Caenorhabditis elegans: one gene and its partners. The protein of the gene in region 3 purifies or fractionates together with the protein of the main gene of each other region. This does not show direct contact. Each region holds a gene or a part of one and is shown on either strand. Other genes may lie near its edges.

Region 1 (4,541 bases), on a different chromosome or scaffold from region 3:
ATAAAAAACCAAACTTTTTCCCAAACATGATACATATGCTGTTTAGATGCTAAAAGTACCTGATTTTCAAAACGAGACCGCTGAAAAAGTTTTGAGATTTTCAAAATTCAACTTTTTTTGTGAAAAAGTCGAGATTTTGGCACAAAATGTTGAATTATGAAAATCTCAAAACTTTTTCAGCGGTCTCGTTATGAAAATCAGGTACTTTTAGCATCTAAACAGCATATGTATCATGTTTGGGAAAAAGTTTGGGTTTTTTATTCCCGTAATCCATCATATTACATTGACCACTTTTACCGCTACTTGCCGACTGAACTCACAATTTTTTCACTTGGAAATTGTTTTAGCATCTGCAAAAAATATTTATTTATTAGTTTTGATAAGAAAAAACGGAAAAAAATCGGTGAAAACGAAAGAAAACACACAGAAAACAAAGCAAGATAAATGGCCGCTGAAATTTGTCGGGGACTCGGCCATGGCCTAGAAACCACTTTTCCTCGTCCCTCGTGAGGAAAAAGTTGCAGTGTATCAAGTGGACGATATCCAAACACTTCGGTTTCCAGTCTGGAGTTTTTTTTGTTCTCCATGGAGCTTCACGTATCTTTTAAATAGAAAAAAAAACGATTTTCATCGCAAAAATAGTTCCAAATCGAGGTATACCCCTTTAATGAGCACAGTAACCCATTCTCCGTTATTTTGCAATTTTCATTGATTACTTTCGAATTATTTATTAAAAAGTAACTACATTAGTACATACGAAGCGAATCAAACGATTATTATAAATTCATGCAAAGAATCTAAGCCTTGTCGCATTGAGACTTCCAATCGGAGAAGGACTGAAAATGTTAATTTGTTACAATAATCTAACCTATTTTTCCAACTTACGAATTGTTTTGCATAGGCGAAGAATTGTTCCAATGGAATGAATCCATCCTTGTCAGCCAATTTCTTAAGTTTTGGAGTAAGTTCAGCTGGATAGATGACATGATCATCGATTGGGTTAGGATCATGGTTGAGAAGACGGACAGCTGGTTTTGGAAGACGTTTAAATTCAACTACGAATCCAGCGGAGGTGGTCAGTTCATCCTTCACGTATCCCATCAATTTCATGACGGAAAGAGTGATTTCGGTGTGCTGGAATTTGAAATTTGTATAATTTTTTCACAGGAAATAGAGGTTTCACATTAATATTGACAGGTTGTAAATAACTTACAGAAGCGTATCCAATAACTTGTGGTCCCTTTCCAGCGTTAGCATCAGCAACCTTATCAATCAAATTCTGAAGCCAATATCCAGCCATCAAGTTTCCGCATGGTCCGTACTCTGCACAAGCGTTCTGATGAACTTCAGCAAATTCCAGAATCTTAGCCTTCAGCTTCTCGAAAGTGTATCCTTTCAACTTTGGAGCCTTAATCCATGATGGATATTCAGCCTTGTAGAGATCAATTTCAATGAGATTATCGGCCAAATCAGCAGCTTTTCCCAGATTCTCCATGTTCCATTTGGTGTTGTCAGAGAAGTATTTGAGCTCAGCTGCGTTGCTTGTCTTGAGCTTCTTGAGGAATGGAAGGGAATCCTTGTCGATTGGGCCCCAGACTGTAAAATCAGGATTTATATGTTCACATTATACAAGTACAACCGTACCCTTATCATTTCCTTTGCATTCCTTAACAGCGTACATTCTAAGAAGTGGATCATCAATGGCATATGGGACTGGAGACCAATGATCGTACCATTTCTTATCCCAATCCCCCCATTGTTCTGGATCGTGGAGAGCAGCAGTGACAGTCTAAAAATTTACTGTTTCAATGTGGCAACTTATAGTTAGATAAATTTTGATTATTTTACTTTGAATTCGGAATTCGCCACATACCTGAAGAGTCATTTGGCATCTGTTGGCAGAACTGGAGTAATATTTAACTTGAGATGAGTTGTAGTTACGAGAGATCAAATTTCCAATAAAGCTTCTCAATTCCTTTCCCAATCCAAGTCCTTGACGCTTTCCGAACTGAAATATTACTAGATTTCATTTAGAAACTCCAATAATTAATACTTACTGAAGTCAATTCAGTATTTCCCTCATGTCCCCAGCTTCTTGGATTCTCTTGGAGAAAAACTTCTGGATGACGGTTTCCGTGACGAGTTCCGAACAGCACAAGAACCGAGTTCTTATCAATTGCAACAGACTTCTTTGGGAGAAGATGGGCGGCTGAAGTAGCCAAGATCAAGGCAGAAAATAGTAGAAGGTTCATACCTGAAAATATAATTTCTTTGTCTGAGGTGGCGTAAAATACAACGGTAAAGTTGAAGAAACATATCACTTTTTAATGAGAGCAAACCAAGAAGTATGAAAACTGATAAAGCTTCTCATGACTAGACTACCTACATGCCTATTCCACAAACGTTGCAGGTCCGCAAGAAGGCATTTACTGTTTAGACTAAAAGGTAGGAGATTGTAGAATGATAGATTCAGGTTGAAAAATACATATTCTGAGAGCTTTTCTAGACAAATTTAAAATTCTGGTAATCAGTTAATTACACAAGAACACTGAATTGCCAGTGAACTTCCATCTTACCCGGCGTTTATATACTGTTTTTGTTTTGTTTGAAACGATAACAAACTGATAAGATAACACGACAGAACACAATTCAATAAAATTGAATTAAAAGAAGATATGACCCGATTTGAAATAAAAAGTATCTTCAGGTGTTTTGTTACCGTTTCATTGAAACAGAATGAACAAAAAACCGTTAGTTGTTGGTCTAATAGAGAAACCATTAAACACGGAACTAATAATTTTATTAAAAAAATCTCAAATGAAATATCACGTTAGTTCAGAAGCCTGCGCCGGCCTCGTACCTTCCCGCGTGCTCAATGATCTGCGAACCCTTGCCGTACAACTTTGGTATTCGTCAGGTTCAACTGAAAGGCACAAGGCAGGCGCGATAGAAGTGGGCCTACAAATCAGTCACTATTTTTAAATTCAAGCTGTAAAATAATTACTTTAACATGCATCCATGGCACATTTTGGAAACTGTTACTAACAGAAAATTTCAAAATTTTACTTCTATCCTGAAACCGATCGAGCACTAGATGCTAACTTTATCTTAAAATTACCTTTTTTCAAGTTACAAAAAATAATTCTTTTAACTTTTCTATCTATGTACCTAGGATAGCAATACTTGAGTACTGTAAATCTAAATCACATGCTACCTAGTACGATCTTGTCATTAAAGGATTTCTCAAGGCCGTGACAAGAGACCAGACGTGACAATACCAAAATATCATGATAAAAATATAGATCACAAACAGAAAGGATGTTTGGATGTACGTTCTCAACATTTTGTGCCATTCTTTTATACTCTGTTAGGTACGACCAAACTTCAATTCAATTTGGCCTCGAAATTGTCATGGAAGGGAGAAATGAATTGAAAATGAGACAATTTTAAATGAATGAAAGAAAAAGATGAAATACACAAAACACATAGAAAACAGACAAACATGAAGAAGATCAATTGTTTATTTGAACTCAAAAACTCCATGTTTCACCATCTCATCTTCAATTCAATTTCTTCCAATTGAATACACCAATTACTCTTTTTTTCTCTGTTTCACAAAACCACAAAGATCGCGAGAAAACTTTAGTTCCGGTTTTTCTCCGAGAATCTGCGAGAGTTCAAGGTGAGTTCAAATGACCGTGAATTGCGCCGTGGCAATTTGAATTTCAATTAGACAGAATTTTTGAGACTTCATGAGCAGAAGGCTGAAGTAAAGTTTGCAGAGAATACGGTAGGATTTGTCTAGTATATATGCCTCCCGGGTTCCTATCGCGATGGCTCCATTGTGCTAATTGAGGCATTCGCGAGTTCGTAGGGCTCTAACATAATTTTCGGATCTTTGGTGCCTTCTGGAAGGGCTACACCAAAAGCTAATTGGAAGAATTACTACTGTAGAAAACTGTAGAAAATTTGGTTAAAATTACAAAGGGGCTAATGAAAAACACTTATTATTGGATAATTGTATTAAAATTGGGAAGGGCTGTTGTTTAGAAACGACTGACAAATATTGAAAATCAAGTAAACAAATTATTTCTTCTAGGCAGCCTACATCTGCCTCATGCCTATACACAAGAACATGTAAACCATTAGTTTCATCTCACAGTTTAATCTCTAACGAAATAATTTTAAAGATTTAATTTTAAAAATAAGAATAGTACTTCAAATCTGAATAAATCTACCTTGTCCAAACAGAAATGTTCACTCTAAACGGGATGAAGATTGTAGTAGGCACATATGTATGTAGGCAGGAAAACGTGCCTGTGTTCCATGAAAACATTAAAAGGAATCTGTTCTTTTAATCATGTCTTCTTTTAGTTGATTAAAAACTATATACATATATTTCATTAACGAAATCCGATTAAATTTAAAAATCTTTATCTACAAAAATAGATCAAGCTAGCGGAATTAATATGCGAGTGACCAAATGAGATTATTGTAAAAACCAGCAATCTTGGAGAAATGCAGCAGACTTCTCGTTGGAT
Region 2 (5,054 bases), 1.1 Mb from region 3:
TGCGGTGAATGTGAGAGAAGGAAAGAGATTGCACGGTAAAGGGAAAAAATGTGACAGATGGTTTTCTATCTTGGTTTTATGGGATTCTAACAAAATGCCTCGGATTAATCTTTATGGTCAGATGTGCTACCCAACATGCGAAGGAATACGTTTTACGAGATGAGATTAAGGAGACCGCTACAGGATTCGTATTACCGTTCCGAGCGTTTCGGTTTAAACAGGGAGAGGCTGTCAAGATTGAATGTGAGGTGAAGTACTGTGAAAAGTGTAAAAAGGTGAGATTTTTTGTTAATATTAAAAATTATTTTGGTAATATAATCTTCAACAATTTGTTGGACAACGCAACTATCAATATTGTTAGTTTTTTGTTCAAAAGTTCTAATCAACTCTCTACGGCATTGTTCCTAAAATCTGAGTTTATTCATACTATTTTCAGGCAAATTGTCCATCACGTAACCGCCGATTTACAACTTTTGATGAGAGTGAGGACACAACGTTAACTGGAAATGAAGATACTGAAAAAGTCCATGCCGAGCTTCTCGTTCAAACAATTGTAGACTCAACCCAATTAGATGGTTATTGCCTTCAATTGAACCGTTGGATTGCACTAATTTCCTTAACTGTAATTATAATTTCAATTCAATTCCTACTCGTGATCTATATTTGTCTCAGAAATCGTTTCCTCGATACAAAGAATATCTGATATGGGTGTTTGGTTTTTTGATTTTTTATTTGTTTAATGTCTTTATGTTCGGTAAGAACATTCTCATAATAAAGATAATAATACATGAATTGTCATATTTACACATTTAAAATTTCAGCAGCACAATTGACTTTCACTGGGAACCACGTACTTGATGGATTTTTGAACCTTAGAATATACTCTCCCGGTGCAACAAGTTTCTCGCCAAACTCTGGTAACTGAAAATACATTTTAGTGCAAATTCAACAAAACAGGGAAGAAACAAACCTTAAGACTTGTAACTGTGATCTTCGGCCAGATAGCCATCTCTTTACCAGCGTCTCGTTTAACAATCTCGAAGTCAACGTCTCCACTGGTTGTGTAATTCCAAACCAGTTTACCTTCCGTCGTAGTTTTTCTGTGAAAAAGGACATTATTTTCTCGGAATTGTTTCAGAAGGTGTGAATGGTTTTGTAGTTTTTGCACAAAATTTTCACGATTCTGTGCGAATCGGCAATTTTTGGAAATTTTCTCTCATGAAAATTATATGAAATGAAAACATTTTAATAAATAAATACTCTAACATAAAAAAATTTAATTGTAAGTAACATCAAATAAAATTCGATTTCCTCTAAATTTATAACTTACATGATATACTCTGATGTCTGGAATGCTTTTATCGAGTAACTCTTTCCTTTCGGTGCCTTGAGAATCCCGTTTTTAACCCAAATATACTCTTGTGGTTTATAATCTTCTTTGGTAATTCTCTTTGGTTGTTTACATGCTCCTTCTGGTGGATCTGCATATCCAGTATCATCACGATATGTTCCTCCATATTCGACTGGAATTGCCTCCGGCTCCAAATATTTTTTCAAATCTTCCACGTTGCTCAAGAAAGCTAACTTTTCTACTGTATTAGGGTCCACGAGTCGTTTAGTGACTTGCCACATGACGGATATAATTCCAGGTGGATTGATAAGAAGAAGCTTGCACAACTAAAATATTGAATTTCTCGTTTTGTTCAAGTAAAAACTGAAATTATACACTCACGTGTTCGCTGAAATATTCTGCCCAAACTTGCACCACGAGCCGTGCCAACTGTGCAGGTCCTGACAACGGATTCATGAAATCCATTAGATTTAATCCTTTCAAATCCAGAATACAGACGACTGAAGATGTTTTTCCTGTCTTTCTTTCAGTGTGTGCCATTGCTCTTGAAAAATTTTCTTGGAGCATAAAGTATGAGTGAAGAACATAGCTCAATGGCATCACTTTTAAAATTTCTTTGATATCAGTTCCTTCCATTTTTTGTACAAACACATGAAGATTTTTTGATGTGACTTCATAGTTAAGTTGAGAAATATGGAATCTCTGAAAAACAACAAAAGGTGTAATTCTATCCAGTGTTGGGAAGTCTCACCTCAAAACAATCCTTTCCAATATTTACGGTTGTAAAAATATCGAGATCGTTGATTTTTTCATATCCCATTAGTTTACGATGTTCGAATAACTGTATAATTTTCTGGCGTGTCTTTTCCACATCTCCATTATTTGCATTCAAAAATCTGGCAAAGAAGAATGGAGAATCGATTTTATCAGGTACGGATGGGATTGAAACTCTGCAAAAATTACTTTCTCAAAAATGGTTTTTCACAAAAATGTGCTGTAAAATGTTTTCAGGTTAAATGTTTTCAGGTGTTGTTGTTGGAAATTGGCGTCCAAAACCGAAATTTTTTTTTTGCTTTTTATTACTCTCAAATCCTCAATAGATTTATCGGAATGCAAGTCAACAATTTGAAAATGTCAAAAACTAGTAGCCGTTGCCCAAATTAAATGTCAAATTCACTGGAACGGAAAATTGTCAACTAAAAATTAAAAAAAAACTCACTTTAATTTTTCAGCCTTTTCCAAAATGTCTGCACTGAATTTCTTCGCTGTGATCATATCGTCAATCATTTTTGAATTTGTTGTTTCACGAGTGATTTCTTCGACAAAAAACGTGTATATAGCAAGGGACAGTCTAAAAAATAAATCTGGCTGTGGGAGGCGGTCTCCTAAAAAATGAAAAAAAGTGATTGATGGAGACAGGTTTTCAGATTAATATGCAGGAAAAGAAAGTCGTGCTGTTTTAACTGTTATCAGCAGTCATCACCAATTGATTATGTGATTATACATATAATAGTTATGTTATCATTTTATCACTAGAAGGGGCGAACACAATGGAAAAAAATGAGGACTTGATCAGTAGTGATATGACGTGTTAAATACAAGACATTCGGCGAAGGATGGTCGAGAGAAAATAATTTCGTGTTTTGTGATTTTAGAAAATTTTGGAAAAAAAGCGAAGATGCCAAACCTCAAGGTTGAATGGAACCTAGAGAGAAAGGTTGAAAAAAAGTGAGACCGAAAAAGGAACAATTTTAGATTATACTAGTAGTGCGCGGTCTCCTATAGTCGGTGGTTAGTAAGAGAGAAGTAAACAGGAATAGAGATGGCAGCAAGATGGTCAACAAAGGGAAATAGAGAGGTGTCGTTTAATACGGTAGTCACACATACACATAAAAGTTGAAGCCCCGGCTTGTAAAGAATGAATTGTTGTAAGAAATAGTTGAAGAGAATGAGCGTACAATTGTATTCAATGGGTGGAGACAATTTCAGATTGTTTTTCAGATTGTTGAATACCTTGTGATGAGGAAGGGATAGGTTTAATTGAAAAAAAGAATCAGGTGGAAAAAGGGTAAAGGAATAGAGAATGATGAACGTACAAAAATTTGGAAAATGAATTTGAAGTATTACACAAGTGGGGAATATTAAAAAATAGGAGGAAAATCATTTTTAAAACAATTATAAATTCGTATTTATGAATCGCGGGATTATTTAATCCACATAATATACATTTGAAGATAAGAGTGGATAAGATTGGATGAACCGTTCGGTATTTTCAGGTAGCTTATCAAAAAACATTTATTCAGTTATACGGCTGCTGGAAATTTTTAGTTGATGATTAAAGTAGACGTTTCATGCTTTGGTAATTTTTTTCTGCGTGATATTTTATTATCTCCATGTACTAGTTGTTACAATAATATCTCTACGTCTTTAACAACATCCCTGTCCAAATTATATCGTTTGTATCTGAAAAAATGTACCGGAAATTACCACACATCCATCTCATTTAAAGATATCCATTACTCAAGAGAATTTGTCCTTCTATAGCCCAATATTTTCTTCTTCATTGTGATGTCGTGTATGAACAAATCTGAAACCATTTCCAAACATCTCATTCAAAGCTCCACAGGGTATTCTCTTGTCCGCACCCTTGCTCAACCACAAAAATATAAGCATTTATGAAAAATTGGCGTATTTTCGTCTCCCTTTTCCATCTCTTCAAGGGGTTTTCACCACTTTCACCCAGTGCCACCACCAACAGAATTCGCCACTCACTTTTTTTCTTTTTTCTTTCTTCAATTGCCTCATTTATTCAAGGATGAGCACATACTTATGCTGGCGTTTTTGAATAAAAATTGAGCAAAAATGAAGAAGAATTCCGCATATTGGAAGAAGAGGAAGAAGAAGACTCCAAATGTTTAGTTTTGATGACTTGGAGTGAGAAATAAAAAAGAAAATTTTTAATTGTTTTGTTACTAAGTGTTAAGTCTCAGGATCTGTAATTTTTGTTGGAATCCATTACAATTTAAAATAGATTTAATATATTTTTCAGTTCTATTTCAATTTATTACTGATTTAGGACAAATTCGCTCACTAGGATAGTATTTCAGCTCATAATTAATGCTCCGAATGAAATCTATGGCAAGCTACAAAATTTTTTCTTAATCTAGTTGTTCCAGATTTGCAAATTTCTCTAAATGGCCTAGTAATTATCTGTCTTTCACAATCAGTCACTTTTCATCTTTTTGGTTTTATCTTCAAACGTTTTCATCTAGGACATTCTTTGAGTTCGACTCGTCTCCAAATAATTCTACAAAAGAAGTCCCATTGAGATACTTCAAAATAGTCCACTTTAAGTCTTTTATGTCTCTTTTTCTCTACATTTATGCTTTTCCCGAATAAGTATGCAGCGTGCATCATAACCCATTAAGTATCCGGAATTTGGCAAAATTTAGGATTTTCAGGAATGTTTCTTCCATGACTCAGTATTTTTATCAGAACAACCCACATAAAAGCTGGGTCACGACCCACGTGATAGGGAACCGGGTTCTAAACAAACTCTTGCTATTTCACTCTTAATCTCTTTTTTGTATCCAGAAATCTCCTGCAGGGGAAAATAGCAGCTGTGTGCTCCCGCGCCGCCCTCTGCTCCCCCTCTTGTCACTTTCTCTTCCTATCTTGAGGGTTCTATCTTCCTCATCATCAT
Region 3 (3,643 bases):
AACTTCACACGCTCACTTCTTGGTTTCCATTCTTCAGAAACTTTTCTCTCAAAACTGATAGAACTGAATTTTCAGTGTTACGAAATGGGAAACAGCAGTTCTTTAATGTTACGAGATGAGGAGATTGAGGAAATAATGAGTGAAACAGAATGTGAGTTTAGATAATAAATACAATTATTTTTAATGTTCTTAACTTGGTGAAAATTAGATGATCAATGTTACTTTCAGTTAACAGAAATCAAATTGTCCGACTCTACAGCCGATTTTTATCACTTGATAAAAAAGGTTTGTTGCGTATTTCTTTTTATCATAAAAATAATAAAAAAACATTTCAGGACAGGGATTTCTTTCACGAGACGATTTTTTGAATGTTCCCGAGTTGGCTGTGAATCCTCTTGGTGATCGAATCGTAGATGCCTTTTTCACATTAGCTTCTTCAAACGGTGACAACGAAGAGCAACAGTTGAACTTTCGTCAATTTGTTCGAATTCTTGCACACTTTCAACCGATTTCAAGAGTAAAGAAAAATGCTCTCAACTCGAGAAAAGACAAATTGCTTTGTAAGATTATTCTTTCAAGTTTTTAATTATTTAATTTTATTTCAGTTGCGTTCAAAATGTACGATTTAAATAAAAACGACTACATCACACGTGAAGAATTCAAAGTCATTCTGAACAGTATGGTTGGTGCCAATATAACTTCTGATCAACTCGACAAGATTGCTGATCGAACGATTGAGGAAGCTGATGCAGATCGTGATGGAAAAATTTCTTTTGATGAGTTTTGTCGAGCAATGGAAAAAACTGATATTGAGGAGAAGATGTCGATTCGATTCCTAAACTAAGCTTTTACAAGAAATTCCCCTGCTAGTCTCGTTTTCAGTTTGCCATTTTCTCTTACCTGTACATAATTTTTGTCACTTCTCACCATTTTGCCTTGAAGACACAAACTATCTCAGAAGTTGTTTATCAATTTTCGTGTGAAATCAAAATTGACAAAGAAAAATGAATGTTTTATCAGTTTTATCATTGATTAATAGTTTTCAAACATTTACAAAGGAGCACATTGTCCCTTGCAGATGGCTCCTTGACGATCCTTTTGAACTGCCTTCAAATCATCTCCAACCTTGTAAGTGACTCTTCCAATTCCATCCAAAGTGACTTTTACGGTAGCAACTGGCTTTCCAGCATCATCCCAAGTAGTAATCTCCCAATCCTTGAGTCCACATTCATCGGCTTTCTGTTGGAAGGTGTTCTTCTGAAGCTTCTTCAAATAGCTCCATCTGAAAAAGAAAACATAATTTTTCTATTGATGTCCTCCGAACAAACCTTTCAGATTTCTTTCCATTGCTGGCAACAATTTGTCCGCTGAATTTCTTGTCTGTGTCCGATTTCAAATGAACAATGATGTCACATGCGAGAGCGACAGATAAAAAGAACAGAAGAATAACTGCGACACGCATTCTAAAAAAGTATACTGTAGACTACAATGGTTCTATTGATATGGCAAAATATCAGCAACGTTGGTGTTCTCACAAAAGAAATACATTGGAAAGGTACAAAGAATGGAGGAAGAGAAATTTTGTTATTATAGAAAATATTTTGATTGTTCAACTGTTGGTAATTCAACAGTAAAAAGGATAAAAAGAAACATGAGAACGAATAATTGGGTATAAACAGGTAGTAGTCGGTCTATCGGTCGCAGTGGTGAATGGGTAGTCTGCCACAGCGGCCGAATTGCGATCGATACGGGCTGTCCTTGAGAGCCTTGGTGTTGTTACACAAAACAACGATAAAGTAAATCAAAAAGAAGAAGACAAATGAATGAAGCATTGAATCAGTTTTGTTTTCAAACAAACACCGACTAAACGAAAAAGCAATTGGTGTGTCATTTGTGAATTTTGTTTTGACGACCACATTCTCACATTTTCAAGGATCGGCACTGATATCTGTATTCATACTAAGTATACCATGTAGGAGCACAAGAGCCTACAGACGTAGGCATGCGTAACTGGTGACATCCTAACACTACGTTCACACGATGTCAATTAACATTTGGGCTAGTAAAGAAGGCATAGTTGGACTAGGTGATCTTCGGGAAGCTACTCATGCATCGCATGCACACATCTTAGCACCTACATGTTGTATCGACATTTTAAGTATTTTATCAATTTAACAATGCAAAAGAATGAGCACCCCGCGACTGAAAGAAAATGAACTGTCATTAAAAGTTAATATTACGACATAGAAAAACTTCAAAATAAAACAATTTTTTACGATTGTTCTAGTCGATTTGTATTTCTATTAATTATATCTAAGCATCTGAACATGGGCTCGAACATGCTAGAAATTTCTAGAATTTGGCAATTTACCAATAAAAACATAAGTAATTTAATACGATATTCGACGATGTAGGCTCGAACCTAAACGATCATTTTATGTATATTTTGAACTTTTAAATACTGTTCCCGAGTATTTCTTTTCCAAATTTCATATTCAACACAATCTTCCATGTTTAATCAGATTTCACAATTTAAAGGTTAACGCGTTACAGTATTCCATGAAGCCGAATATTGAAAACTGGTATATGTTCTCTTATTGTTGTCACAAAAATCACAAAAATAAAGTACACCACGTGTGTGACTCTAGTTTTTCTAATCTTTTGGTGTTTTGTTGTTGTTCGGTTACAGTAGAGAGATAGACTAGTTTTTGAGAGTTAGACAAAAATTTTATGCCAGTATAAAAAATTTAATTGTCTTATGAAAACAGTAATGGAAGAATGATATTTTGTCTGAAGATGATAATTTAACTTCAGGAAAGGGTACAAAAGAGAGAAATGAGCTCTTCACTTTGAAATACTGTTGTGCCAAAAGTGTTGATCAGAATTCTGATCCTCCGACGGTTATCTAATAAATATCTAGTTTTATTCATTTACTTCCTTGGTCCTGATTTCAACAATGTTTTGAAAATAAATCGAATGAACTGAAGATCTTATTTCAGGTCTTAAAACCAAATTTTCGGGGATCTGTACATGACTAATCTACAAAGTAAATTAGTTGCCATAGAATCTGACGTCATTCTAAATTATTGAGTCACGATCCAGCATCCGATTATTCAAATTCAAGTTTCAACGAACTGGTCTTGAAACTCCGCACGAATATTTGTGGGCTGATTCAAATACGAATAATGTGTTTTTTTCCGATTAAACTACTATTATTGTGACATAATTTTTACATCATCATTGTAAATAAACGGTGTATATTTTTGGTTTACAATTATTTCTATTTATCGGGATTTAGATTGTCCCATTGATTTCAAGTTGTGGTGCAAAAAGATTATAATGGAGTTCCATTGCCATTCAACTCATTTCCTCTTTATTTTTAACTGCATGCTAATGAATTTGTCATTCTGTTTTTTCGAAGGATATCAAATGAATAGAAAACCTTTTATAGACTCTGCTTCATCTCGCAGTTCTTCGTTTTCTGCATAAATGAATTGATCAAACACAAATAAATAATTTAGAGAATACAACTGAAGACAAAATAAATGCAGGTAATAAAATGGATACACGAAATAATGCTTATGTATAAACATTAGGAAACATAATTAAAACTGCAACATGATGCTTGAAATTCAAAAAATAT

Evidence for each region. The genes of interacting proteins can lie anywhere in the genome.
Region 1: the proteins of ZK856.7 (region 3) and acp-6 fractionate together in Caenorhabditis elegans (co-fractionation; one large-scale study listed by BioGRID). This does not show direct contact.
Region 2: the proteins of ZK856.7 (region 3) and T03F7.7 fractionate together in Caenorhabditis elegans (co-fractionation; one large-scale study listed by BioGRID). This does not show direct contact.

The regions. Positions count from the first base shown.
Region 1 is NC_003282.8:6,423,886-6,428,426, forward strand, and holds acp-6 (Histidine phosphatase family protein), read right to left. Parts: upstream 2,255-4,541; 5' UTR 2,253-2,254; coding exon 2,058-2,252; intron 2,009-2,057; coding exon 1,874-2,008; exon of another isoform or gene 1,804-1,873; intron 1,790-1,803; coding exon 1,645-1,789; intron 1,597-1,644; coding exon 1,214-1,596; intron 1,135-1,213; coding exon 886-1,134; intron 837-885; coding exon 798-836; 3' UTR 715-797; downstream 1-714.
Region 2 is NC_003283.11:11,309,106-11,314,159, reverse strand, and holds T03F7.7 (CRAL-TRIO domain-containing protein), read right to left. Parts: upstream 2,739-5,054; 5' UTR 2,639-2,738; coding exon 2,571-2,638; intron 2,302-2,570; coding exon 2,103-2,301; intron 2,054-2,102; coding exon 1,733-2,053; intron 1,678-1,732; coding exon 1,331-1,677; intron 1,101-1,330; coding exon 971-1,100; intron 922-970; coding exon 802-921; 3' UTR 715-801; downstream 1-714. Other genes in the region: cutl-18 (CUTiclin-Like), read left to right, coding at 122-275, 437-703.
Region 3 is NC_003283.11:10,199,918-10,203,560, reverse strand, and holds ZK856.7 (uncharacterized protein), read right to left. Parts: upstream 1,464-3,643; 5' UTR 1,463-1,463; coding exon 1,329-1,462; intron 1,283-1,328; coding exon 1,051-1,282; 3' UTR 1,008-1,050; downstream 1-1,007. Other genes in the region: chpf-1 (EF-hand domain-containing protein), read left to right, coding at 85-151, 229-285, 336-560, 606-844.